Linked DNA regions of Saccharomyces cerevisiae S288C. The gene in region 1 interacts genetically with each later gene. Each region holds a gene or a part of one and is shown in the gene's direction. Other genes may lie near its edges. The genes, in order: VPS8, VAM3, GUP1 and RIM20.

Region 1 (6,462 bases):
GAAGATACATCAATCCACCCCTTATATAACCTTGAAGTCCTCGAAACGATCAGCTAATCTAAATGGCCCCCCTTCTTTTTGGGTTCTTTCTCTCCCTTTTGCCGCCGATGGAACGTTCTGGAAAAAGAAGAATAATTTAATTACTTTCTCAACTAAAATCTGGAGAAAAAACGCAAATGACAGCTTCTAAACGTTCCGTGTGCTTTCTTTCTAGAATGTTCTGGAAAGTTTACAACAATCCACAAGAACGAAAATGCCGTTGACAATGATGAAACCATCATCCACACACCGCGCACACGTGCTTTATTTCTTTTTCTGAATTTTTTTTTTCCGCCATTTTCAACCAAGGAAATTTTTTTTCTTAGGGCTCAGAACCTGCAGGTGAAGAAGCGCTTTAGAAATCAAAGCACAACGTAACAATTTGTCGACAACCGAGCCTTTGAAGAAAAAATTTTTCACATTGTCGCCTCTAAATAAATAGTTTAAGGTTATCTACCCACTATATTTAGTTGGTTCTTTTTTTTTTCCTTCTACTCTTTATCTTTTTACCTCATGCTTTCTACCTTTCAGCACTGAAGAGTCCAACCGAATATATACACACATAATGGCATCCACCGATTTCTCCAAGATTGAAACTTTGAAACAATTAAACGCTTCTTTGGCTGACAAGTCATACATTGAAGGGTATGTTCCGATTTAGTTTACTTTATAGATCGTTGTTTTTCTTTCTTTTTTTTTTTTCCTATGGTTACATGTAAAGGGAAGTTAACTAATAATGATTACTTTTTTTCGCTTATGTGAATGATGAATTTAATTCTTTGGTCCGTGTTTATGATGGGAAGTAAGACCCCCGATATGAGTGACAAAAGAGATGTGGTTGACTATCACAGTATCTGACGATAGCACAGAGCAGAGTATCATTATTAGTTATCTGTTATTTTTTTTTCCTTTTTTGTTCAAAAAAAGAAAGACAGAGTCTAAAGATTGCATTACAAGAAAAAAGTTCTCATTACTAACAAGCAAAATGTTTTGTTTCTCCTTTTAAAATAGTACTGCTGTTTCTCAAGCTGACGTCACTGTCTTCAAGGCTTTCCAATCTGCTTACCCAGAATTCTCCAGATGGTTCAACCACATCGCTTCCAAGGCCGATGAATTCGACTCTTTCCCAGCTGCCTCTGCTGCCGCTGCCGAAGAAGAAGAAGATGACGATGTCGATTTATTCGGTTCCGACGATGAAGAAGCTGACGCTGAAGCTGAAAAGTTGAAGGCTGAAAGAATTGCCGCATACAACGCTAAGAAGGCTGCTAAGCCAGCTAAGCCAGCTGCTAAGTCCATTGTCACTCTAGATGTCAAGCCATGGGATGATGAAACCAATTTGGAAGAAATGGTTGCTAACGTCAAGGCCATCGAAATGGAAGGTTTGACCTGGGGTGCTCACCAATTTATCCCAATTGGTTTCGGTATCAAGAAGTTGCAAATTAACTGTGTTGTCGAAGATGACAAGGTTTCCTTGGATGACTTGCAACAAAGCATTGAAGAAGACGAAGACCACGTCCAATCTACCGATATTGCTGCTATGCAAAAATTATAAAAGGCTTTTTTATAAACTTTTTATAATTAACATTAAAGCAAAAACAACATTGTAAAGATTAACAAATAAATGAAAAAAACAACGAAATAACTTAGGTTTTAGGCTAAAAAAAACAGAAGGAATTTTGAACGATAAACTTTTCGACTGCACACGAAACATTATTACTAATTTGTGTAACCACTATATAAGGAATCGTGTTTATTAATTGAATTTATTCCGGGAATATTCAAGTTATGTATATCTCTTTTCATATTCTTAAATACACATACTCATAATATCTTGTCGAAAATACGCGGTGTAGGGAGTTATGGTGGATAACTTTTTCACGATTAGAAGAAAAGGAAAATTTCATTATTCGTAGCTTAACATGGCAAAAACGAGAAAGACATATAATCAAAACGTGAGTTTCCTGTGGAAAAAAAAAAAAGGGAACCTCTGGTTACGATGATATACCTGCGTGAAAAAGGACAGTTATTACCAATACATACAAAGGCTTAATAAGTGTAAAATATATATCTGCCGAGACCATTACTCATTACACCTAGAATGGAGCAAAATGGCCTTGACCACGACAGCAGATCTAGCATCGATACGACTATTAATGACACTCAAAAGACTTTCCTAGAATTTAGATCGTATACCCAATTAAGTGAAAAACTGGCATCTAGTTCTTCATATACGGCACCTCCCCTGAACGAAGATGGTCCTAAAGGGGTAGCTTCTGCAGTGTCACAAGGCTCCGAATCCGTAGTCTCATGGACAACTTTAACACACGTATATTCCATCCTGGGTGCTTATGGAGGGCCCACGTGCTTGTATCCGACAGCCACGTATTTTTTGATGGGCACTTCTAAAGGATGCGTACTCATTTTTAATTATAATGAACATTTGCAGACAATCCTAGTGCCGACCTTATCTGAGGACCCTTCTATTCACTCAATAAGAAGTCCAGTGAAATCAATTGTCATATGTTCCGATGGTACTCATGTAGCTGCCTCATACGAGACCGGAAATATATGCATTTGGAACTTGAACGTAGGGTATAGAGTGAAACCCACTTCTGAACCAACAAATGGTATGACCCCAACGCCTGCCTTACCGGCAGTCTTACACATCGATGACCATGTGAACAAGGAAATCACAGGGTTAGACTTTTTTGGTGCTCGGCATACAGCCCTGATTGTTAGTGATAGGACAGGTAAAGTATCACTCTATAACGGTTACAGAAGAGGCTTTTGGCAGTTGGTGTATAATTCAAAAAAAATTTTAGATGTGAACTCTTCCAAGGAGAAATTAATAAGGTCAAAGTTGTCTCCACTAATATCACGGGAGAAAATTTCCACTAATTTGTTGAGTGTACTCACAACTACACATTTTGCCCTTATTTTATTATCGCCACACGTTTCTTTGATGTTTCAAGAAACTGTTGAACCCTCAGTACAAAATTCTCTAGTCGTGAATAGCTCTATTTCATGGACTCAAAACTGTTCCAGGGTTGCTTATTCCGTAAATAATAAAATTTCTGTTATTTCCATATCTTCATCAGACTTCAATGTTCAGTCCGCTAGCCATTCTCCTGAATTTGCAGAATCTATATTATCCATTCAATGGATTGACCAGCTCCTACTTGGTGTTTTAACCATATCGCACCAATTTTTGGTATTGCACCCCCAACATGACTTCAAGATCCTGTTAAGATTGGATTTTCTGATTCACGATTTGATGATCCCACCTAATAAATATTTTGTAATAAGTAGAAGAAGTTTCTACCTGTTAACAAACTACTCATTTAAAATTGGCAAATTTGTGTCTTGGTCAGATATTACTTTAAGACATATTTTGAAAGGCGACTACTTGGGTGCATTGGAGTTCATAGAATCACTTTTGCAACCTTACTGTCCACTGGCAAACTTGTTGAAGCTAGATAATAATACGGAAGAGAGGACTAAGCAACTTATGGAACCATTTTACAATCTGTCCTTGGCTGCCCTAAGGTTTCTTATAAAAAAAGATAATGCCGACTACAATAGGGTTTACCAATTATTAATGGTAGTTGTTCGTGTTTTGCAGCAATCTTCCAAAAAACTAGACTCAATTCCTTCTCTAGACGTCTTTTTGGAACAGGGTCTGGAGTTCTTTGAATTGAAGGACAACGCGGTATATTTTGAAGTTGTAGCAAATATTGTTGCCCAAGGATCAGTTACGTCAATTTCCCCAGTTCTTTTCAGGTCCATAATTGATTACTATGCTAAGGAGGAGAATTTAAAAGTAATTGAAGACTTAATCATCATGTTAAATCCTACTACGCTTGATGTTGATCTTGCCGTCAAACTATGCCAAAAGTATAATTTGTTCGATTTATTAATATATATTTGGAACAAGATCTTTGATGATTATCAAACCCCAGTGGTGGACTTGATATACAGGATTTCTAACCAAAGTGAAAAATGTGTGATCTTCAATGGTCCTCAAGTACCTCCTGAAACGACTATATTTGATTACGTAACGTATATCCTTACTGGCAGGCAATATCCACAAAACTTGTCTATATCACCAAGTGATAAATGCTCCAAAATACAAAGGGAACTTTCAGCATTTATTTTTAGTGGCTTCTCCATAAAATGGCCGTCGAACAGCAATCATAAACTTTACATATGCGAAAATCCAGAAGAAGAGCCAGCATTTCCTTACTTTCACCTTTTATTGAAATCGAATCCGAGTAGGTTCTTAGCAATGCTCAATGAAGTGTTTGAAGCGTCCTTGTTTAACGATGACAATGACATGGTTGCATCAGTTGGAGAAGCAGAATTGGTAAGTAGGCAATATGTTATTGATCTACTATTGGATGCTATGAAAGATACGGGAAATTCAGACAACATCAGGGTACTTGTTGCAATTTTCATTGCAACTAGTATATCAAAATATCCTCAATTTATTAAAGTGTCTAACCAAGCCCTCGACTGCGTTGTTAATACCATATGCTCCTCTAGGGTTCAAGGTATATATGAAATTTCTCAAATAGCTCTGGAGTCGCTTTTACCCTATTATCATTCAAGAACAACAGAAAATTTTATACTGGAACTAAAAGAAAAAAATTTCAATAAAGTTCTTTTCCATATCTATAAAAGTGAAAATAAGTACGCCAGTGCGCTTTCACTTATTTTAGAAACTAAGGACATCGAAAAAGAATATAACACGGACATTGTATCCATAACCGACTACATACTCAAAAAATGCCCACCTGGAAGTTTAGAATGTGGCAAAGTTACTGAAGTTATCGAGACGAACTTTGATCTTCTTCTCTCAAGGATCGGTATCGAAAAATGCGTCACAATTTTTTCTGACTTTGACTATAATCTTCATCAAGAAATCCTGGAAGTAAAGAATGAGGAGACTCAGCAAAAGTATTTGGATAAGCTTTTTTCTACGCCAAATATCAACAATAAGGTCGATAAGCGTTTAAGAAATTTACACATCGAATTGAACTGTAAATACAAGAGCAAAAGGGAAATGATTCTTTGGCTTAATGGTACAGTTCTCAGCAACGCTGAGAGCTTACAAATTCTGGACTTATTGAATCAAGACTCTAATTTTGAAGCTGCAGCTATAATTCACGAACGCTTGGAAAGTTTTAACCTAGCAGTCAGGGATTTATTAAGTTTTATTGAACAATGTCTAAATGAAGGGAAAACAAATATATCTACTTTATTGGAATCTTTGAGGAGGGCCTTTGATGATTGTAATTCTGCTGGTACCGAGAAAAAATCGTGTTGGATATTATTGATTACATTCCTGATCACTCTATATGGGAAATATCCTTCACACGATGAAAGGAAAGATTTATGTAATAAACTACTTCAAGAAGCATTTTTGGGATTGGTTAGGTCCAAGAGTTCCTCTCAGAAGGATTCAGGTGGGGAATTCTGGGAAATAATGTCTTCTGTTCTTGAGCACCAAGACGTTATTTTAATGAAAGTTCAGGATTTAAAGCAACTGCTACTGAATGTTTTTAATACTTATAAATTGGAAAGATCTCTTTCTGAGTTGATTCAAAAGATTATAGAGGATTCTTCGCAAGATCTTGTTCAACAGTATAGAAAATTTCTGAGTGAAGGGTGGTCTATACACACCGACGACTGCGAAATCTGCGGGAAAAAAATATGGGGAGCTGGTCTGGACCCATTACTTTTTCTAGCTTGGGAAAATGTACAGCGCCACCAAGATATGATTAGTGTAGATCTCAAAACTCCCCTTGTCATATTCAAATGTCACCATGGCTTTCACCAGACTTGCCTCGAAAACTTGGCCCAGAAACCCGATGAATATTCTTGTTTAATTTGCCAGACGGAATCTAACCCAAAAATAGTATAACATTTCTAAATATTTAATACAACTTTGGTTACATAAAAGTAAAATTTATACACCTCATTTCATTATGTAGATTCATATATAGAATACCAATTATGATTGACCCAATAGCCATCAAAATCAGTAGTTATTAATACTTGTCTTTCTAGGAGCCATTTGCATATTTCTGATATTTCATGAAGCGAAAGTACTTCACGACACCTAGATTGCAATCTACTCAATGTTATCCCTGGATGAAATATTATTTCGTTAACGACCATAGTAACTACCTGCTTCCATATGTTTGGCCTAATGGAACCAGATCCATTCACCCATAAACGAGAAAATGGTTTGCCCAGTGGAACTTTGACAGCAGACTTCCTTGCTGTATTCAATTTTGTCTGAGAATTGGCATATATAATCAGAGGGGGAGTTAATGTTCGTATTTCAAATCTCCTTGAAGTATACGTTAAAGGTCGAACATTTCTCACCATTGGAATTACATCCATATTCAATAGCTCTCC
Region 2 (5,140 bases), on another chromosome or scaffold:
GCTTTTTTTTGCTACGAACGTGGCCCTTTTTATGCTTATTTTTCGTTGTAGGAAAATGCCTCTTCTCTTATAACCAAATGGGGAAAAATATAAATGATGCATCTCGAAAAAGCTTCAAGATCTACTGGAACCGCAACTTCTACTCTAGAACTGGATAAAAGCCTAGAAGAACTTCAAAATTAAAGGGGCGCAAGAAAGTTTCAAATATATTACATATTTGCTACTTAGATCAAGAATAACCACCCCCGGTCGTGACTTTTTAGATTTTTTTTATCTTGTTTATTTTTAGCAAAATAACCGTTTCAAGAAAATACTAGAAATATAATCAAAGACTCCCAAGCGTATACACAGTAATGAACGTTTGCAAGTTGAAAGAAATAGTACCACTATTTCCGAGATCGTCCTTTACAGATGGTGTAGTAAGTACAGGAAAAAGTTTCCGAAGCTGGGACACCTGCATGGACAATAAAGCATGTAAAATTATTGCGATTGTTGGTATTGTTTTGGCCTGTATTCTTGTGATTTGGTTGATTGGGGGCTTACTGACATGTTTCAGGCAAGGGGTAACAGGAATAGGTCAGTTCATTTGTTGGTGTTGTCGTTGTTCTAATGACAGAAATGGAAACAATACAATGCCGGTAAATGAGGGTTTTAGTAGAGTTAATATGGGCGTGGCTCCTCCTTCTACTGTGATTTATCAGCCTATTCAACAACCTGAAAGTGCGTATTATAGAAACGATGCGAAGAATGATACATTTTACGACGAAGTCAAAACTCCCAGTAATGAGGTGTATGAATTAGAGGAAGATTTCGATTTGGAAAAACAAAAAGAGAAAACAAGGAAAAAACAACAGAAGGAAAGAAATAAAGAAGGACGCAGCCCTAGTAGGGTGGCCCCTCTAGTGTATGAAGAAGAAAATTTCGAAGGTAGCAGCCCTCAGCCGCAATATGATGCTAGAAATTCGTTTATCCAAAATGCGGCCAATACTGGTAGCAACAACGCTCATGTTGCTTCACAATCTCCAATTTTTGACATCAGCGATTATGGCGAGAACTATTATTACGATAATAATAACATCAATAATAACCTCCAGGGAAACAGTTACAATACTCCCTCCTCTAATCATAGAAGTCCATATCCAACCGAAAATTATCAATCATATCAGGGATATAAACCAAACCAAAGCGATAGATATTACTAATGAGGTAAATATATATTCCCCCTTCTTTTGAATAATCAGTCAGACATTTTAAGATCAAGAGGATTCATTGGTAGATTTTGCAAGAACCAATTAGGAATTTCTTCAGGAATAACTGTGAGCTTGCGTTTACGGAAAGGAAAGTAAAAAAAAATCTTCCAACGAGTTTTTCCTTGTACCGGTTGCTAAAAAGGTGCCTTCTAACAGGTAACACCAGAAACCGCAACTTTTAAAATGCAAATAAGGGCAGTCAATGGTGAACTTCCTCTTGGTCAGTTAGTATGTACAATAAATTAGGTTGTTTTCCTCAGGATAAAAGTGATCTATTTGTAACATATAGTTTACCTAGGTGCTGACGAGGACACAGGAAGAGCAAAACTAAGATCATACAAGTCAATACTTATTATAATCAAATGATAATATTCGTTCAGCCTCATATTCGAGTTTCACATCACAACTTTTTTTTTCGCGAGATGCGCAGTAAAAACTCTATATACATTTTTGTAGTGAATTTTGATTTTGATGTAAAGAAAGCAGCCAGGAGATTAAAGGAAGGAAAATAGAACAATAAAAAACCACGGGATCAGCATTAACAAATTGGCCAACTAATATCCACTGCAGAAAGTTGAGATTATGTCCTTTTTCGACATCGAAGCACAATCTTCAAAGGGTAACTCCCAGCAAGAACCACAATTCTCAACAAATCAAAAAACGAAGGAATTAAGCAATTTAATTGAGACATTCGCTGAACAATCCCGCGTGCTGGAAAAGGAATGCACCAAAATTGGTTCCAAACGGGACTCCAAAGAACTAAGATACAAAATTGAAACAGAGTTAATACCGAACTGCACCAGTGTAAGGGATAAAATTGAGAGCAACATCCTCATTCACCAAAATGGAAAGTTGTCTGCTGATTTCAAGAACCTGAAAACGAAGTATCAATCCCTACAACAATCATACAATCAAAGGAAGAGTCTGTTCCCTCTAAAAACGCCTATTTCACCAGGAACATCTAAGGAAAGAAAAGACATCCATCCGCGAACTGAAGCCGTGCGACAAGATCCAGAGTCTAGTTATATTTCTATAAAAGTAAACGAGCAGAGTCCTTTACTGCATAACGAAGGACAACACCAATTACAGCTGCAAGAAGAACAAGAACAACAACAGCAAGGATTGTCCCAAGAAGAACTAGATTTTCAAACAATCATTCACCAGGAAAGATCCCAACAGATAGGACGCATTCATACGGCGGTACAAGAAGTCAATGCTATTTTCCATCAGCTCGGTTCATTAGTGAAAGAACAGGGAGAACAAGTAACCACCATAGACGAGAATATCTCGCATTTACATGATAACATGCAGAATGCAAACAAACAATTAACCAGAGCAGACCAGCATCAGAGGGACCGTAACAAATGCGGTAAGGTCACCCTAATCATTATAATAGTTGTGTGCATGGTGGTATTGCTTGCTGTATTAAGTTAGTAATCTCCTTAAACGCGCATTGAGCACAGACTTTCTGGTAGACCCAATCTTATCTATTTACGAAAACAAGAGTGTATAAGAGTGTATAAGTTATTTTTTGCATTTATTCTTTTGTGGTAGGGGGGTTTCTTAGCCGCTCTTTTTGACTCAAAATTTCCTTTGATGTCTAGTGATAGTGCACTTCCCATGTGCGCAACCTGTGTTTTTTGTACTCCGTAGTTTAAATGCAAGGGCTCGATATGCCCTTTTTCCTTTTTCTACTTTGTACGATCTACACTGACCTTTTTTCAGTAGTCCGTAAATCCCCACGAATTTCTACTAGCGACTGCCAATAAAAAAAGGATTGTGCTACTGTATGTAAAAAGTAAGAACCCTGTTATTTTCCGTTAACTGTCATTTGCCTTACTGTTGCTTAACGGCCGCCAACCGTTATCAAGAAACAAAACATTGTATGCGTTGTCTTCTAAATGAACCTTGTGGGCCCTGATAAACATAAGAACGTGTCTGGCTCGGAAGTATTTATCTTATTTCAATTTTCGCTTTTGCAGAACATCCTTGCCTGTCACTAAGATAAGGACAGAGCGTGGATTAATAAAAATGGCAGAATTTCTCGGCAAAAAAAGAAATCATGCATAATTACCTCGATGTGTACGTTATTGCGGGCACGATCCTGTCGCTACGGCCTGATAGTAGCGGCTATTCTGCTGGCGAAAATTTTCAGCAGTTTGAAATCTTACTGTGGCGTCCCGGTCCAGCCGAGATGACATCTAACTAAGAAATGTCCGCTGCGGCACACCCACGCCGTTGCAGCTAAAGTCGCGCACCAAGCACAGACCTGCTGGAGAATGAGGAACAAGGTTGCGTTAAATGCTTCGGGAAGAACTGCCGAACCGAACCGCTAGAAAAGTGCGCAGGTACCCCGATCGAAGCGGCTCGGCGCTCATTTTAGCACAATCAGAAAAAGGAAATTGAAAGAAGAAAAAAAAAACATAATCATTAACAATTCTTTTCTTGAGATATACGTATATATGACGTCGTCATGTAGTATCTCTTTCGGGATACCCTTTGTAAACGTCCCTTTGTGGAGATGAAAAAAAAACTTGCTGAATAAAGATAGTTAAGGCGCTAGTAATCAAATTAATAACATATTATACCACATCACATCTATACCATTTCCGTTGCACATTGCTTGAACCAGTTGCCAAAATTGACTAAACGGATTTTTACAAAGTCAACGGTGATCACTAAAAGCAAACAACTCAAGCGACGAGGCAAGGAAAGAGAAGAAAAAAAAAATATTACATTGGCTATATAAATATCAAAACATCTTAGGTAAGGCACCTTTGATACATAAAACGAAGAAAATTCAGCACATGCCAGATGGCGAGTGTACCAAGTCTATGCGACATACTGATACCGCTAGAAAAGAATAGTCGCAGCGACGGCGATGCTGAAAGTAGCAATACAGTGCTGATTCAACTGCGAAAAGGGCATCACGAACGGATGCGTTCTCCTTACACAATACAAAAGTTTTACAAATTTCTAAAAAGAGCTCATTGTGAGGAAAATTTAGAATTTTTCGAAAAAGCTCATCAGTTCCTCCAGCTTAAGCAAAACAGGAGTATTAGCGAGGAGAAGCTCTTGGAAGTTTGGAACAAGTCGTTGTACATAAAATACATTGCCGTGGACTCCCCCAAAGAATGCAACTTTTCACAGGATACTAGGGAGATATTTGAGAAGTGCTTTGCTAACAATGAAGTACCTGCCGACGTAGACGTCCTGTGTGCCATTAGCCATGTGATGGGCCTATTAATGGACGGGTATCACCGATTTGTGAGTTCTGTTAATGAGAAAAAGTACTCCGCCACATATGCCCACAATGACTCTGCTACGGAACAAGATCTCAAAAACGAGTCTACAACTTCTTTTTCGTCATTAGGCGTGGAGGATATTTCTGAAGATAGAAATTCGTATCTTAAGAAGCCTGATATCAATGGTTTGTCAACTATCATTCAAGAAACGTCTGCAAACACGACCAATGAGTCGCAATGCAGCGATCGCACTTCTCGGCCAAGCGAGTCCTCTTCCTCACTCAACACTACCAGCTCGACCTACAAGAATACCAGCACTAGAAATCTGCAAAAACCGCAAAATACAGGAATTCTCAACTCGGGGAAAGGTTTATTGCAAAAACTTAACTTTGTTAAAAAACGGAAATCTTTCAAACAGCCTTCAGGCGTCATTTGTAGCCATTATAACAGCAATGTTCAAAACCGTTTGAAAGGACAAAACAGTCATCAACAAAGATAGCCTCTTCATCATCTGTGGAGACACAAATATCTTCATCCTCATCGCCATTACCCAATAAAGCGATCGGTAAAAATGAAAAAAGCGTTGAAAACGGCTTTAAAAAGCTAAATTTGCATGATATCAGTTAATCAAGATTAGAACTTTGA
Region 3 (5,913 bases), on another chromosome or scaffold:
GTAAATCGTCTAAAAAATTCAAGGTTTTGACTAACGGATCTTGGAAAAACTCAGAATCTAAAATCAACGTTATGTTATCATATCTGGAATAGATGTCTCTGTTTATTAGCTTGGGTATACAATGCCTCAACTTTTGTGGAACCTTACTGAATATATTATCCCATGACATTGTACTAATTTTGCTTTCAAACTTGTTGTACTCCAATTTATATTCACTAGTCGAATTTTCGCTGCGAAACAAGTCTTTACCAGTGTACAGAAAATATATCAACAATCCTAAAGAAAAATAATCGTTCTTAAAGGTTAGGGTATTCTCAAAAACAATTTCTGGGGCCGTATAATTCAATTGTAAATGCATAAATGGGGGAACTCTGGGATCATATTGAGGTAAGAAGTATTCAGAGGTATTTGTGCCTGGTGGTATTTTTACTAAATAGCCTAAGCCGGAAATTTTCCAATCAGAATTTTCATTGATAAATATTGCCCTAGGTTGAATGTTCAAGTGTACAAAGCTTGCGCGGTTATGAACAAAATCGAGTGCATTTACCAGTTGCAATATACCTCGCTGTACCACGATATTATCTTTAACATGACCTTGTAAGAAATTCTGCTCTTCATCATCGGTTTCTCTGAAAACGGTCTCCAATGAGCTAGTGACAAACTCGGTGACGAACATGAAATTCTTGCTATGTTCTTCTAATGGTTCAATTAAAGTCAGAATATTTGGGTGCTTGAGCTTGGCCAAGTTATTGGCCTGGTTTCTTAATATTTCGTACGCTTCTTGTATTAATACTTTATCTCTGGATCCAGATTTGGATTTAATAATACCATAGTGTAACAAATAGTTTTCGAACTGCTTCTTGTCAAACATGAATATCGATACTTTGGAAGGTGAAGATGAAGATGAAGATTTGGGACGACCGGTGTAAATGCTCCATGGTTCAGCTGTGAAAGTAGGTGATGATGAAAATGAATATTTTGACGTGATACCCGTCTTTGAGGACCAAAACATCATCCCTGCTCAATCAAAGTGTGTCCTATTTTCCTTAATGATACGATATTCGAAGTTACACTGTTTTGAATACTTTTGTGCGCTTTAATATGTGCAAGATTTATTTGTTTTGATATTAACTTCTTTTTGGCTTCTATTTTTTCAAGACTGCAGTACCCTTTTTTTCACGCAACTTCAGGTTCGAACCGAAGAATAGTTTAATTACGTTTAGTTTTCCTACTGAAACTTTTTTTTTAAAAGACCCTGAGAATTTCATCTCGAGAATAATGAAGACCAATATATAAGTAATGAATCATAAAAGTACAAGAGCAGGATCAAAGTTGAATGTCTCAACAACAGGACAAGAAAATGAGTGAAGAAGGAGCATATGTACGGGTGAGCATTTTTCTTGTATAAACATAAACTAGCTGAACATCAGCTCAATCGGACATAAAAATAAGTTTCCAATTAGACATGCACTTGAACTTGTAATTATTTATCGACCAAAAAGAGTAAGTTAATTTTCACATAATCTTGGAAAAGCCAGAAACAAGATTCGAGAGCTGGAGAATGGATGATGAATCAAGCAATGTTGAACAATCAAAATAATATAGGGTGTATAGGTGTTCACGTATTTCTCTTTATGTTTAGTGGGTGTGCCAAAAAGGACACTGAAAGGGTAAGAATAATAACTTAGCATATTGCTTTCGATATATAGATGTTAATCATACAAAGGCAAAAACAAAGCGTGAATCAGCATTTGTTAACAGACAATTGCAAGAAATGTCGCTGATCAGCATCCTGTCTCCCCTAATTACTTCCGAGGGCTTAGATTCAAGAATCAAACCTTCACCAAAAAAGGATGCCTCTACTACCACTAAGCCATCACTATGGAAAACTACTGAGTTCAAATTCTACTACATTGCATTTCTGGTCGTGGTTCCCTTGATGTTCTATGCTGGGTTACAAGCTAGTTCGCCCGAAAATCCAAACTATGCAAGATACGAACGTCTCCTATCTCAAGGTTGGTTATTTGGCAGAAAAGTAGACAATAGTGATTCTCAATATAGGTTTTTCAGGGACAATTTTGCGCTATTGTCAGTTTTAATGCTAGTCCACACTTCTATAAAACGCATTGTACTTTATTCAACAAATATCACTAAATTGAGGTTTGATCTGATATTTGGTTTGATCTTTTTAGTGGCCGCTCATGGTGTCAATTCGATAAGAATTTTAGCCCATATGCTAATTTTATATGCCATCGCCCATGTACTAAAGAACTTTAGAAGAATAGCCACCATCAGCATTTGGATTTATGGTATTTCTACGCTTTTTATTAACGACAACTTCAGAGCATATCCATTTGGTAATATTTGCTCTTTTTTAAGCCCATTGGACCATTGGTATAGAGGTATCATTCCAAGATGGGATGTCTTTTTCAATTTTACTCTTTTGAGAGTCTTAAGTTACAACTTGGACTTCTTAGAGAGGTGGGAGAATTTACAAAAGAAGAAAAGTCCATCCTATGAATCAAAAGAAGCTAAATCAGCCATTTTGCTCAATGAACGTGCTAGATTAACTGCTGCACACCCCATACAGGACTACAGCTTAATGAATTATATTGCATATGTTACTTACACGCCACTTTTCATTGCCGGCCCCATTATAACATTCAATGATTATGTTTACCAATCGAAACATACCTTGCCATCAATAAATTTCAAATTCATTTTTTACTATGCGGTGAGATTCGTTATTGCTCTCTTATCTATGGAGTTCATTTTACACTTTCTCCACGTTGTGGCAATCTCAAAAACCAAAGCGTGGGAAAATGACACACCTTTCCAGATTTCCATGATTGGCTTATTTAATTTGAATATTATTTGGCTAAAACTACTGATTCCGTGGAGGCTGTTTAGGCTGTGGGCTTTGCTAGACGGAATCGATACACCTGAAAATATGATCAGGTGTGTTGATAACAATTACAGTTCACTAGCATTCTGGAGAGCTTGGCATAGAAGCTACAATAAGTGGGTTGTCCGTTACATATATATTCCTCTAGGTGGTTCAAAAAATAGAGTTTTGACATCACTAGCAGTCTTTTCCTTCGTAGCTATATGGCATGACATCGAACTAAAGTTATTATTATGGGGTTGGCTAATAGTTTTGTTCCTCTTACCAGAAATTTTTGCTACCCAAATTTTCTCTCATTATACCGACGCAGTCTGGTACAGACACGTTTGCGCTGTCGGTGCTGTTTTCAACATATGGGTTATGATGATCGCTAATCTTTTTGGATTCTGCTTGGGCTCTGACGGTACTAAAAAATTACTAAGCGATATGTTCTGTACCGTATCTGGTTTCAAATTTGTAATTTTGGCAAGCGTTAGTTTATTCATCGCAGTACAAATAATGTTTGAAATCAGAGAAGAAGAAAAGAGGCACGGAATTTACCTAAAATGCTGAATGCCAAATTTACGAATATCAATTGTATAACACTGCTATCATGTATGTATTTTTATCTACTAGTACAAAAATGAAACCGAAAATAAATAAAAAAATATCGAGAGGAAGCGTGAAAAGCTAATGAACATATAATATGAAAATCTGCAGTATGATGGATAAAAATCCTCTCGAAAACTCAAATACGTTTTTTATATTCACCAGGCGTTTCAAATTTATTCTGGATCCACAGTCCCTTTTTTCTAGATCTTGCCAAAAATTCATAATATCGATACTTATCTTCTCTATCATCAAATTCTGTGTTTACTTTACCCTCATAAACAACCGCTAATCCATCCTTGAGCATTTCTAAGCTTAAGTCTTTCCACCCACCAAACCAGTCCCAGTATGACACTCGAGCTACACAACGGTTGTACTGATCTATAGATAAAGGCTTGACCCATACTTTCTTTCCCAAAATTCGGTTTTGTAACCAAATTAAAGCTTCATTACCAAACGGTTGAGCTGGGTTACCGAAATGTGCTCTTTCTGGGGCATCGATTCCACATAATCTTATAGGAATAGTTGGCAGGTTTTTCCTATTTTTGTAAGGTACATTTAGCTTCAAGAACTGGCTTTTAGCTTTTTGTATTTTACTTTTGGTGGACCTCCCATGCGTAATCCAATTGAAATTGAAAAACCTCATATTTCTGCTATCTCCAACAAGCTTTTCTGCCGTAGAATCATTCTTGATCATTTGTGGGACGGGTCGTAACCATCCCCATCCACCTCTTATACCACCTGGCATGTGAAAGAAATGAAAGTTGTCCCCGTCACCTACAGACGTGACTTTACCATAAAGCCAGTGTTTACGAAATATTCTTCGCGGTATATCATTTGTTCTTTTGAATTGAGTTAAATACCTTTTATATGTGTAGATCAATGTTAAGGTCGAACCCGTAAGGATGATGGAGAGGACAGCAACATCCGCAGATTTTTTTGAATTAGAATCACCTTCCCTCATATAAGTGCATTTATGCCCCCTTAATAGCTATGAAAAACTGGGCTTCTTTTTATATCATGTGTGACTTATTCTGTAATTTGTTTTTATTCTTCAACACAATTTTTTTTTTTTTGCATACCAAAGGAATCATAAAAGGTCAATGATGAAGAAAGATAAAAGAATTTTGTGACCAACAATTATGTCAGCGGATAGGAGTTTATCATATTATAAAACCGATTACTATTATCTATTAGAAATGTATATACACTTATTTGGCTTGTCGCTGTTCCCACAGACGCAATGTTATTGTTGCCAAAAAGCACGGAAGTTGACCTCTATCTTCCACCCATAGATTCATGAGATCATCCCATCCTTCTATATCTGCATCAAGGTTAGATTTCAAAGTGTTTTCATTTAGATCAGCAATCAAATATTTTTCAGGTTTGAAACAGGAAAATATTTTCACACGACTATCTTGTTGAAATTCCAATTTAAAACCTAATAATGAGTTTACAACGTCAATAAACTCCAAAGATTTATTATTGAAAACTTGCTTTAGTCTGGAAAATCTTTTATTTGACTTAAAAACTTCCTGTTCGAACTGTTTCAACTCGAAATTTAGTGAATCATAAACAGAAATGGGTACTGTTTCCACTGCTGGATTATTCTTTTTCAATTCGTTAAGTAAATCTGCATTTTCCTTTTCTAGAAGAAGTAATTTGTTTTTCTTGATAAATTGATCTTTTATGAAGGGGCCGTCACGTAATTGCAGTATACGTATTTTTTTCTCCTTTAGTTTAGTTAACTTTTCTAATTTTTCTTGTAGTAGCTGAATTGTAGTTTGTGCTTTACTCAACTCCCTCGAGACACTTACATTTTCCAGTTGCAATTCGTTGAGCCTCTGTGAATAATTTAAACCAATTTGGTCACTTGTCAACTTCCTCTTTTTTCTTTGTGTTTCTACATCATTGGAATTTGATAATAACTGATCGTTTAGCTTCTTTAGTTCGTTTGTTAAATCTTCTGTCTTATTTTTATAAGTATCGATCAAATTATTCATATCTTCGTTTACGTTCTTGTTTGACGCATGTGTTTCACTATTTTCGACCTCTAGTAAAGCATTATTTTGTGCGGAATATAGGCCATCTAATTGTTCGCGCAGTAATCGACATTCTTCGAAAGATAAACTCTTCTGTTGTTCTAACTCGTGATTTAATCTTTTCAAATTTACTATGTTGTTTTCATAATTCTTGTTCAAATCTAGTATTTGGTTTCTCTCTAAAGCCATTTCATCATTCAGTAGCTTTAAATTGTTATTGTCCAATCTTAACTTATCATTCATATCTGTCAAAATTAAACATTCCTTTTTGGTAAGTTTCCAGTCCCGGATAATCTCTTCAGGGTTATTTCTTATGTTATTTTTGGTTCTGTTGTTATTATTAATATTGTTGTTATTACTTGTATCATTATTATTATC
Region 4 (6,327 bases), on another chromosome or scaffold:
TTGAATTACATGTGTATGTTTAATAAGCGGTACGAATATGGGTTCAAACGCCTTACTCCTACACTCCAATTCATATTTATCAATGGGGACAGTTTTATTCTTGAGCAGTAATACTCTGACTTTTTTACGACTAGACATCTCTCGAGCAAGGTCTATTTTACCTTTCTGTTTCCTTATCCTTTGACACTAAAATTCAAAAAACTCACTAGAAAGTTCACTAAAGCGCCTTAGCTGACTACAGCACAACCCAACCCCAAAAACTAGTGAACTACACACTAAGAGAATTTATGGTATTTCCATAATTGAAGTATATGTACGATGTATACAATGTAAACAAGAGAGTAATGAAGTGAAGATATGTACACCTAGAGCGAACCAATGATAATTTGTTTTCTTAATTAAGAAAAACCATTAAAACTGGATTAGATTTCAATAATGAAAAGCTAGGAACAAAAAAAATTGGTCTACTTCCAGCCATTTGCGCTTTATATAGACATATGGAGGCGTGATGTCTTAAGCATGGTAATCCGGAAGATCAGTTTATTGAATGATGGTTTTCTTATCCTGAAGGATCCTGCAAATGAAGTAAGTTCAAAGAATTGAAATGAAATCGCCTTTTATACCCTCGCCGCACCAAGGAGCGCGCTGTGAAAATTTTTCGCTTTATCTCTTAGGGCTCCTACTGTCGGTAGAGAAAAGTTGAGTATATTTAAAGCATGAGGTAACTTTTCTGCCCATTTTTACTTCTATTTCCATTTGAATTCAGAAAAGTGAAGCAAAATTACACCATGAGTTCCTATTAACGTCAGCCTCTTTTGTACTCATAATGTGGCTTCGGATGTTTGATGGGCGTTGCTTCAGTGCGTACGGCTCATGGTAGATTAATTATTAGAAAGATGTATCTCCAGCTGTTGATATTAGAGGGGGAAGCCTTTCTCTTTCACCTCGCCTTTTTAAACACCTGATACAGTTGGTCATGATTCGTTCTACATTTTAATTTCTTTATGTAACCACGTTGTATATTTTCAATCTGGAAAGTAACCTAAAAGAGTAAAAACTGTTTATTAAAAAAAATGTTATTCAAAATTTATACATAGTACACGTACAGCTGCCTGAAGAAAGCATGAGCGAATGACTTATGCTTCGTCGTCTTCGTCTTCACTTTCCAAAGCAGCAAATGCGTTGAAACCAAGAATTGGCTTGTCCGCAACAATATCTCTGGTATCAGCAGGTCTGTTGGAAGAAATATTTTTGTTATTTGGCTTGACTTTTAAAGTTTCTTGGGCAATGGTAGCAACTGGCACAGTAGAAGTTGGTGTGGTTTCTGTTTCTTCTTCATCATCTTCTCCACTACCCTTCTTCTTGGCTTCAAATGTGCACCAACCATCTGAATCGGTTGTAACCTTAGGCTTGTTGTGCTTAATCTTTGGTCTACCATGATGGTGGGAAGATCTTCTACGACCGAAATGACCAACATGATGACTGTTAAACTCTTCCTCTTTCAAGTGTTGCAATTGCTTAACTTTTTCAATGATGGCTCTAAATTCCACCGCATCGAAATTAACTTCCAAAGTTAAACTTGGCTTCAGTTGAAAAAGCTCATCGATAGTATACTTGATCATGTCGTGAAATTAAATAAAAGTTCTTAATCCTATATTCAGGTTACAGCTCAAATAATGTCTATCGCAATCGGTAGAATATGCTTTACGCCAAATACTTTTTCCAATTTTTCACTATTTTTCGTCCAGGAAAAGAGATATTCAAGCCTCGCTACTACCCGGCTTTATAATATAGCATAAGAAAAGGGACTATAAAGCCTTATTAAAACACTACTATACCCTTGCAGAGAGAGTATTATTATCTATGGAGATCCAGGCAGTGTGACATGAGTGAACTGCTTGCCATTCCACTTAAGCGAACTTTAGAAGTGGACTTTGCCACGGAGTTGTCAAAACTAATTGATACTACTTCCTTTCAAACGGCATCCTTTTTCCAATCAGACATACTCAAAGTTGTTGATGCAAGAAACAATGCGATTGCACCCGATATCTCAATCGACGGTCTTTCTGCACTGAAGGAATACTATGTAATATTGTTGCAATTAGAGAAAAAGTTTCCCAATAATCAAATAGAATTTACATGGTTTCAAACGCTATCACAAAAATCTCGTGGTACTAGTCAATACTCATTACAATGGGAAAAATTAACCATTATTTATAATATTGGTTGCATGTATTCACTGTTGGCTCTAAATAGCAACAATGATGCAGCCGAATCCCTCAAAACGTCATGTCTGTACTTCCAGAATGCCGCCGGATGCTTTAAACATGTTTTAGACCACCAAAAAAATCTTGAGACAATCCCAGTGGTAGATGACGCCACATTGAACGCTTTAACCTCCCTGATGCTAGCACAAGCGCAAGAATGCTTCTGGTTTAAAGCCGTGCAAGATAAACACAAGGACTCCTTAATCGCGAAGTTGTCACAACAGATCGTGGACTTCTACTGCGAGGCTATTAATGACGCCCAAAGGGGGAAACTTATTAGAAGTGATTGGATAAACCACTTAAAGGCTAAAAAGGCTTACTTTAGTGCGGTGACTTATTACAGAATAGCCTTATCTTTTAATGAGAAGAAGCAGTTCGGAAATGTTGTGAAAGCTCTGCAAATGGGATTGCAATTTATAAATGAATCAACACTATCTTCGCAAGCTAAGTTTAAAACTGTTGTCGAATCTTCTCTGAAAGAAGCCCAAAGAGACAATGAATTCATCTACTTACAAGAAGTTCCTTCGGAATTACCATCGATCAAACCAGCTCTCATGGTTAAACCATCTTCTTCAGCAACATTGTTGCCTTCTATTAAAAAGGATGAGACTTTATTCAAAGACCTAATCCCTATAGAAGTGATGGAATATTGCACAGCATACAATGAAAGGCAAGATGAATACGTTGAACAACGTGTTACCAATCCCCTTGCTTCCCTAAATAAACTATTGAAGGAGTCCTTGACTACTTTCCAAATACCACAAGGGCTTACAAAGGTGAGTGAAGCAGAACTGAGTCATTACCAGGCATCACTGAATAATCTTCTCATTAATAATAAAAATGTGCAGGTACAACTCGATAACATTGAGCAAATTTTAAATGAAGAAGCATTTACTGACAATCAGCTCCGACTAAAACACGGAACCTTAAATTGGACTTTACCCGAATCTTCAACTACTAACACAGCATATTATGAAAAACTAAAAAAGCTGAGAGGATACCTTGATGAAGGTAGTGCGATTGACAAACAAACAAATGAACTATTTCAAAGCATCGATAAAAATTTGATTGGATCAGAGATCAGGTTACCGGAATCTAATGATCCTCTAACGAATAAGATTAAGATGATCATACAGGAAAGAAATGATTATATTGATAGGACGAGGCGGAAATCTTCAGAATATAGAATACTTCCAAAGATCATTACATCGTATAAAAAAAATGGAACAGTCGACTTTGAACCCATTTTCATAGGCCATTTAAAATACTTTGACGAAGATTTAAGATACGTTAATAGTACAAAGGAAGAAAATATCAAACTTATTGAGGAAGTAAACCTAAGTAAGAAGAATAACCCCGGCAGAAGCGGGATTGAACCAAAGAAAATGGTAAGAATAGATCCCAGAGAGCTATATATTGAAGATCTGAGATATTCCTTCAAACTGCTTGATGAGGTGAAAGAAAATTTAAGTGCCGGCACAGCATTTTACGAAAATTTAATTACTTCTACCAGCAATCTGTACAATGAGGTACAGGAATATGATACAGCAAGAAGAGCAGAAAAAGCTAGGCTTGATAAGAGTTTGACATTTGAAGACCAATGATACCTGTCCTCATTCATCTATAAAGTATATTTTGAGCTTGTCATCCTCCCTTTCCATTATCAAAACCCAGCTTCACTTATGTAGATATATACACTCAGGATAAACTCCTTTTTCCTAATATTTTCATTCCACAGTCTCCTTCTTGTTTATTTTCCATTTTTCAAAATCAGCTTGACGAGTGTTTCTTTTCAAGTTGGATTTATGTCTTCTGCTACCCAAATGAATTTTCCAATATTTTTCGCCAATAGCTACAACGTTCTTACCATCTGCGTTACGACAGACGTTGCAAGTATAATGTGTCCAATCGTCCAATTTCTTCATCGTAGTTTCGCCTTTAGACAACAGCTCCTCTAGGGCTTTAGGTGCCCTTTCTTGCTTGATGGGTCGATTGCTAATAAAGTCATTGGAAATAGCTATCGCTCTTTGAGATGCATTCGTGTCCCATTGAGAAAGGTCAGTGGCATCCAGTAAGTATATATCGCCTTTGATGTCAGGTATCAGCATTTTCTTGATCCATTTTACCTGCCTTTTTGCGTATTGACGTGTTCTCGTTTTCATTCTTTCTATACAATCCTCCAATTTTACTGTGTTGTCATCAGTTTTCCCGGTTAGCCACGGTAAGAATTCTTTGAAGCCAATAACTTGCCAAACACCATTCTCGCATTGCTCCGGCGTAAATTTATTTTGACTGTAATATTCATATAATTGCTTGATTTCTTGCAAGGCGCCTCTTTCTAGCATGTCGTCTACACGATCGTCAAGCCTTTGGAAAAGTGGCTCCGGCTTACTGTATAGCCATAAAAATAGGGTATCAAACTTCAAAGTTATTTTTTGTTCGTTAAATGTCTCGCTTGGTTTTTTGCCCGTCTTATAGTAGATTTCCAACATTCGTTGTACCCTCCTGTAGTCATTAGGATGGTATTTGGTAGCTATATCAGGATCACACTTCACAAGTGTGTTATAAATCACATCAGGGTCAGTCGATTCCAAAATATCGAGCTGCTTCCTTGTGAGCTTACGTTCGGATGATTTCGTATCGACCCGCTTATTGAAAAGAGTCTGCAAATAATAATGAGTACCCCCAACAACGATGGGTATCTTACCCCTCCGGTGAATATCTTCAATAGCGTTCATGCATTCAGTTTCAAAACGATGGGAATAGTATTCTTCTGACCAATCTACGTGATTCATTACATGGTGAGGAATGCCCTCTCTTTCTTGAAGCGGATGTTTATTTGTTATAATAGGAATATCTTTATATACCTGCATAGAATCCGAATTGATAACTTCGCCATTAAATTTTTGTGCCAATTGTATGGACAACTGAGACTTTCCTACTCCTGTTGTACCAGCAATCACTATAACTTTTTTAGACATATTTAAGCAACCTTTAAGCGGTCCCTTTAGCATGAAGATTTTTGGTTCTATTTACAAAAGATATGTACGTATAGTAGCTTATCTAATAAACTATACAGCCCTCACTGAGCTTTTCTTCTTTTTTGCCATTTTAGAATTTTTTTCTGTTTTAATTTTCTTTCCGATGAGCGAAAGATGAACGTGTGCTTTCGCCTGATTCAGTAATCAAGATCTTAGATCGACGTTGCCATCGAGGAGCAGCAACATAAGGAACTTTTACCTGATTTTAGCTTATACGAGCAAAATTCGCTCTTTATCTTTCGAAGGCATGACCACAATAGCGCAAGTAGATATGTAAATAAATCTTCCTAAACCGGTCTCGGAATGCAAAGAGCTTCGTATTTCAAAATTACCCGAATCCTATACATGTCAGGAATCAGGTTATACTCCCTAGCTCTTTTCCTGTTTGTCCATCTTTTTCCTATCATAGATGGTTATGGAGGCGGCTGTTTCTGTAAGAACTACGGAGTCGCGGCCCGGAATGGGAGAAATGCGAAGAAGCAGGCCGCAAGTGGAAGAAATTATTGGGGTAAAAGATCAACTAATGAACTCTGGATATAAAAAGTACAGTTAGCGTTTCTTCCCAACTTTCTTATGCTGCTATCAGCAAATGCATTTGCATAGGCTACAAGCCACAAGCCACAAGCCAATAAGGCATATGAATAATAAGAGAAAAAGTGCCTAATTGCTGTTTATATCAACCGTATGGCGTGCTTTAGCTGCAATAAACTTGTTTTCGCCGATTACCACTAATGGCCGACTTCCACGGATCCCAAAAATAGTGCCACGTCGGTACGGTCGGGCATAGTGGTTATTATTTCCGGGTTGTGACCCGCTTCGGATAATTGATCTATCCCCGAGGTAATAGGCCCGTGCGGTTCCGTCTTCATGAAGCTGCAGGGGCTCCGCTTAAAAGCCCCTGACGGCTCACCTTAAATCCGTGTTACGACACTATGCCAAATGAAGGAAACACTGAAATGATTGCATACCCGCACTCGTGCTTACATGCTAATTGTCCTTGTCAGAGCAAACGGTACCGG

The links.
Region 2: mutations in VPS8 (region 1) and VAM3 together harm fitness less than expected from each alone (positive genetic interaction), as found in Saccharomyces cerevisiae (4 studies listed by BioGRID).
Region 3: mutations in VPS8 (region 1) and GUP1 together harm fitness more than expected from each alone (negative genetic interaction), as found in Saccharomyces cerevisiae (3 studies listed by BioGRID).
Region 4: mutations in VPS8 (region 1) and RIM20 together harm fitness more than expected from each alone (negative genetic interaction), as found in Saccharomyces cerevisiae (3 studies listed by BioGRID, with this or other methods).

What each region holds. Positions count from the first base shown.
Region 1 is NC_001133.9:141,570-148,031, forward strand, and holds VPS8 (CORVET complex membrane-binding subunit VPS8), read left to right. Parts: upstream 1-2,137; coding exon 2,138-5,962; downstream 5,963-6,462. Other genes in the region: EFB1 (translation elongation factor 1 subunit beta), read left to right, coding at 605-684, 1,051-1,591; transcription factor TFIIIC subunit TFC3, read right to left, coding at 6,025-6,462. UniProt on the Saccharomyces cerevisiae protein: Required for localization and recycling of the CPY sorting receptor (VPS10) to the late-Golgi compartment. Involved in the retention of proteins to the late-Golgi. Plays an integral role in the complex vacuolar protein sorting process.
Region 2 is NC_001147.6:517,289-522,428, forward strand, and holds VAM3 (SNAP receptor VAM3), read left to right. Parts: upstream 1-1,832; coding exon 1,833-2,684; downstream 2,685-5,140. Other genes in the region: PIN2 (Pin2p), read left to right, coding at 354-1,202; YOR105W (uncharacterized protein), read left to right, coding at 907-1,233; GTPase-activating protein RGS2, read left to right, coding at 4,065-4,994. UniProt on the Saccharomyces cerevisiae protein: Required for vacuolar assembly. Provides the t-SNARE function in a late step of the vacuolar assembly. Required for homotypic vacuole membrane fusion, autophagy and fusion of biosynthetic transport vesicles with the vacuole.
Region 3 is NC_001139.9:348,160-354,072, reverse strand, and holds GUP1 (O-acyltransferase), read left to right. Parts: upstream 1-1,774; coding exon 1,775-3,457; downstream 3,458-5,913. Other genes in the region: SCY1 (Scy1p), read right to left, coding at 1-1,015; LCL3 (Lcl3p), read right to left, coding at 3,633-4,457; coiled-coil domain-containing protein MAD1, read right to left, coding at 4,705-5,913. UniProt on the Saccharomyces cerevisiae protein: Membrane-bound O-acyltransferase involved in the remodeling of glycosylphosphatidylinositol (GPI) anchors. Acts only on GPI-anchored proteins, but not on free GPI lipids.
Region 4 is NC_001147.6:836,628-842,954, reverse strand, and holds RIM20 (Rim20p), read left to right. Parts: upstream 1-1,885; coding exon 1,886-3,871; downstream 3,872-6,327. Other genes in the region: uroporphyrinogen-III synthase HEM4, read right to left, coding at 1-138; CAF20 (Caf20p), read right to left, coding at 1,137-1,622; MOD5 (tRNA dimethylallyltransferase), read right to left, coding at 3,995-5,281. UniProt on the Saccharomyces cerevisiae protein: Required for the proteolytic cleavage of the transcriptional repressor RIM101 in response to alkaline ambient pH, which is necessary for sporulation and invasive growth.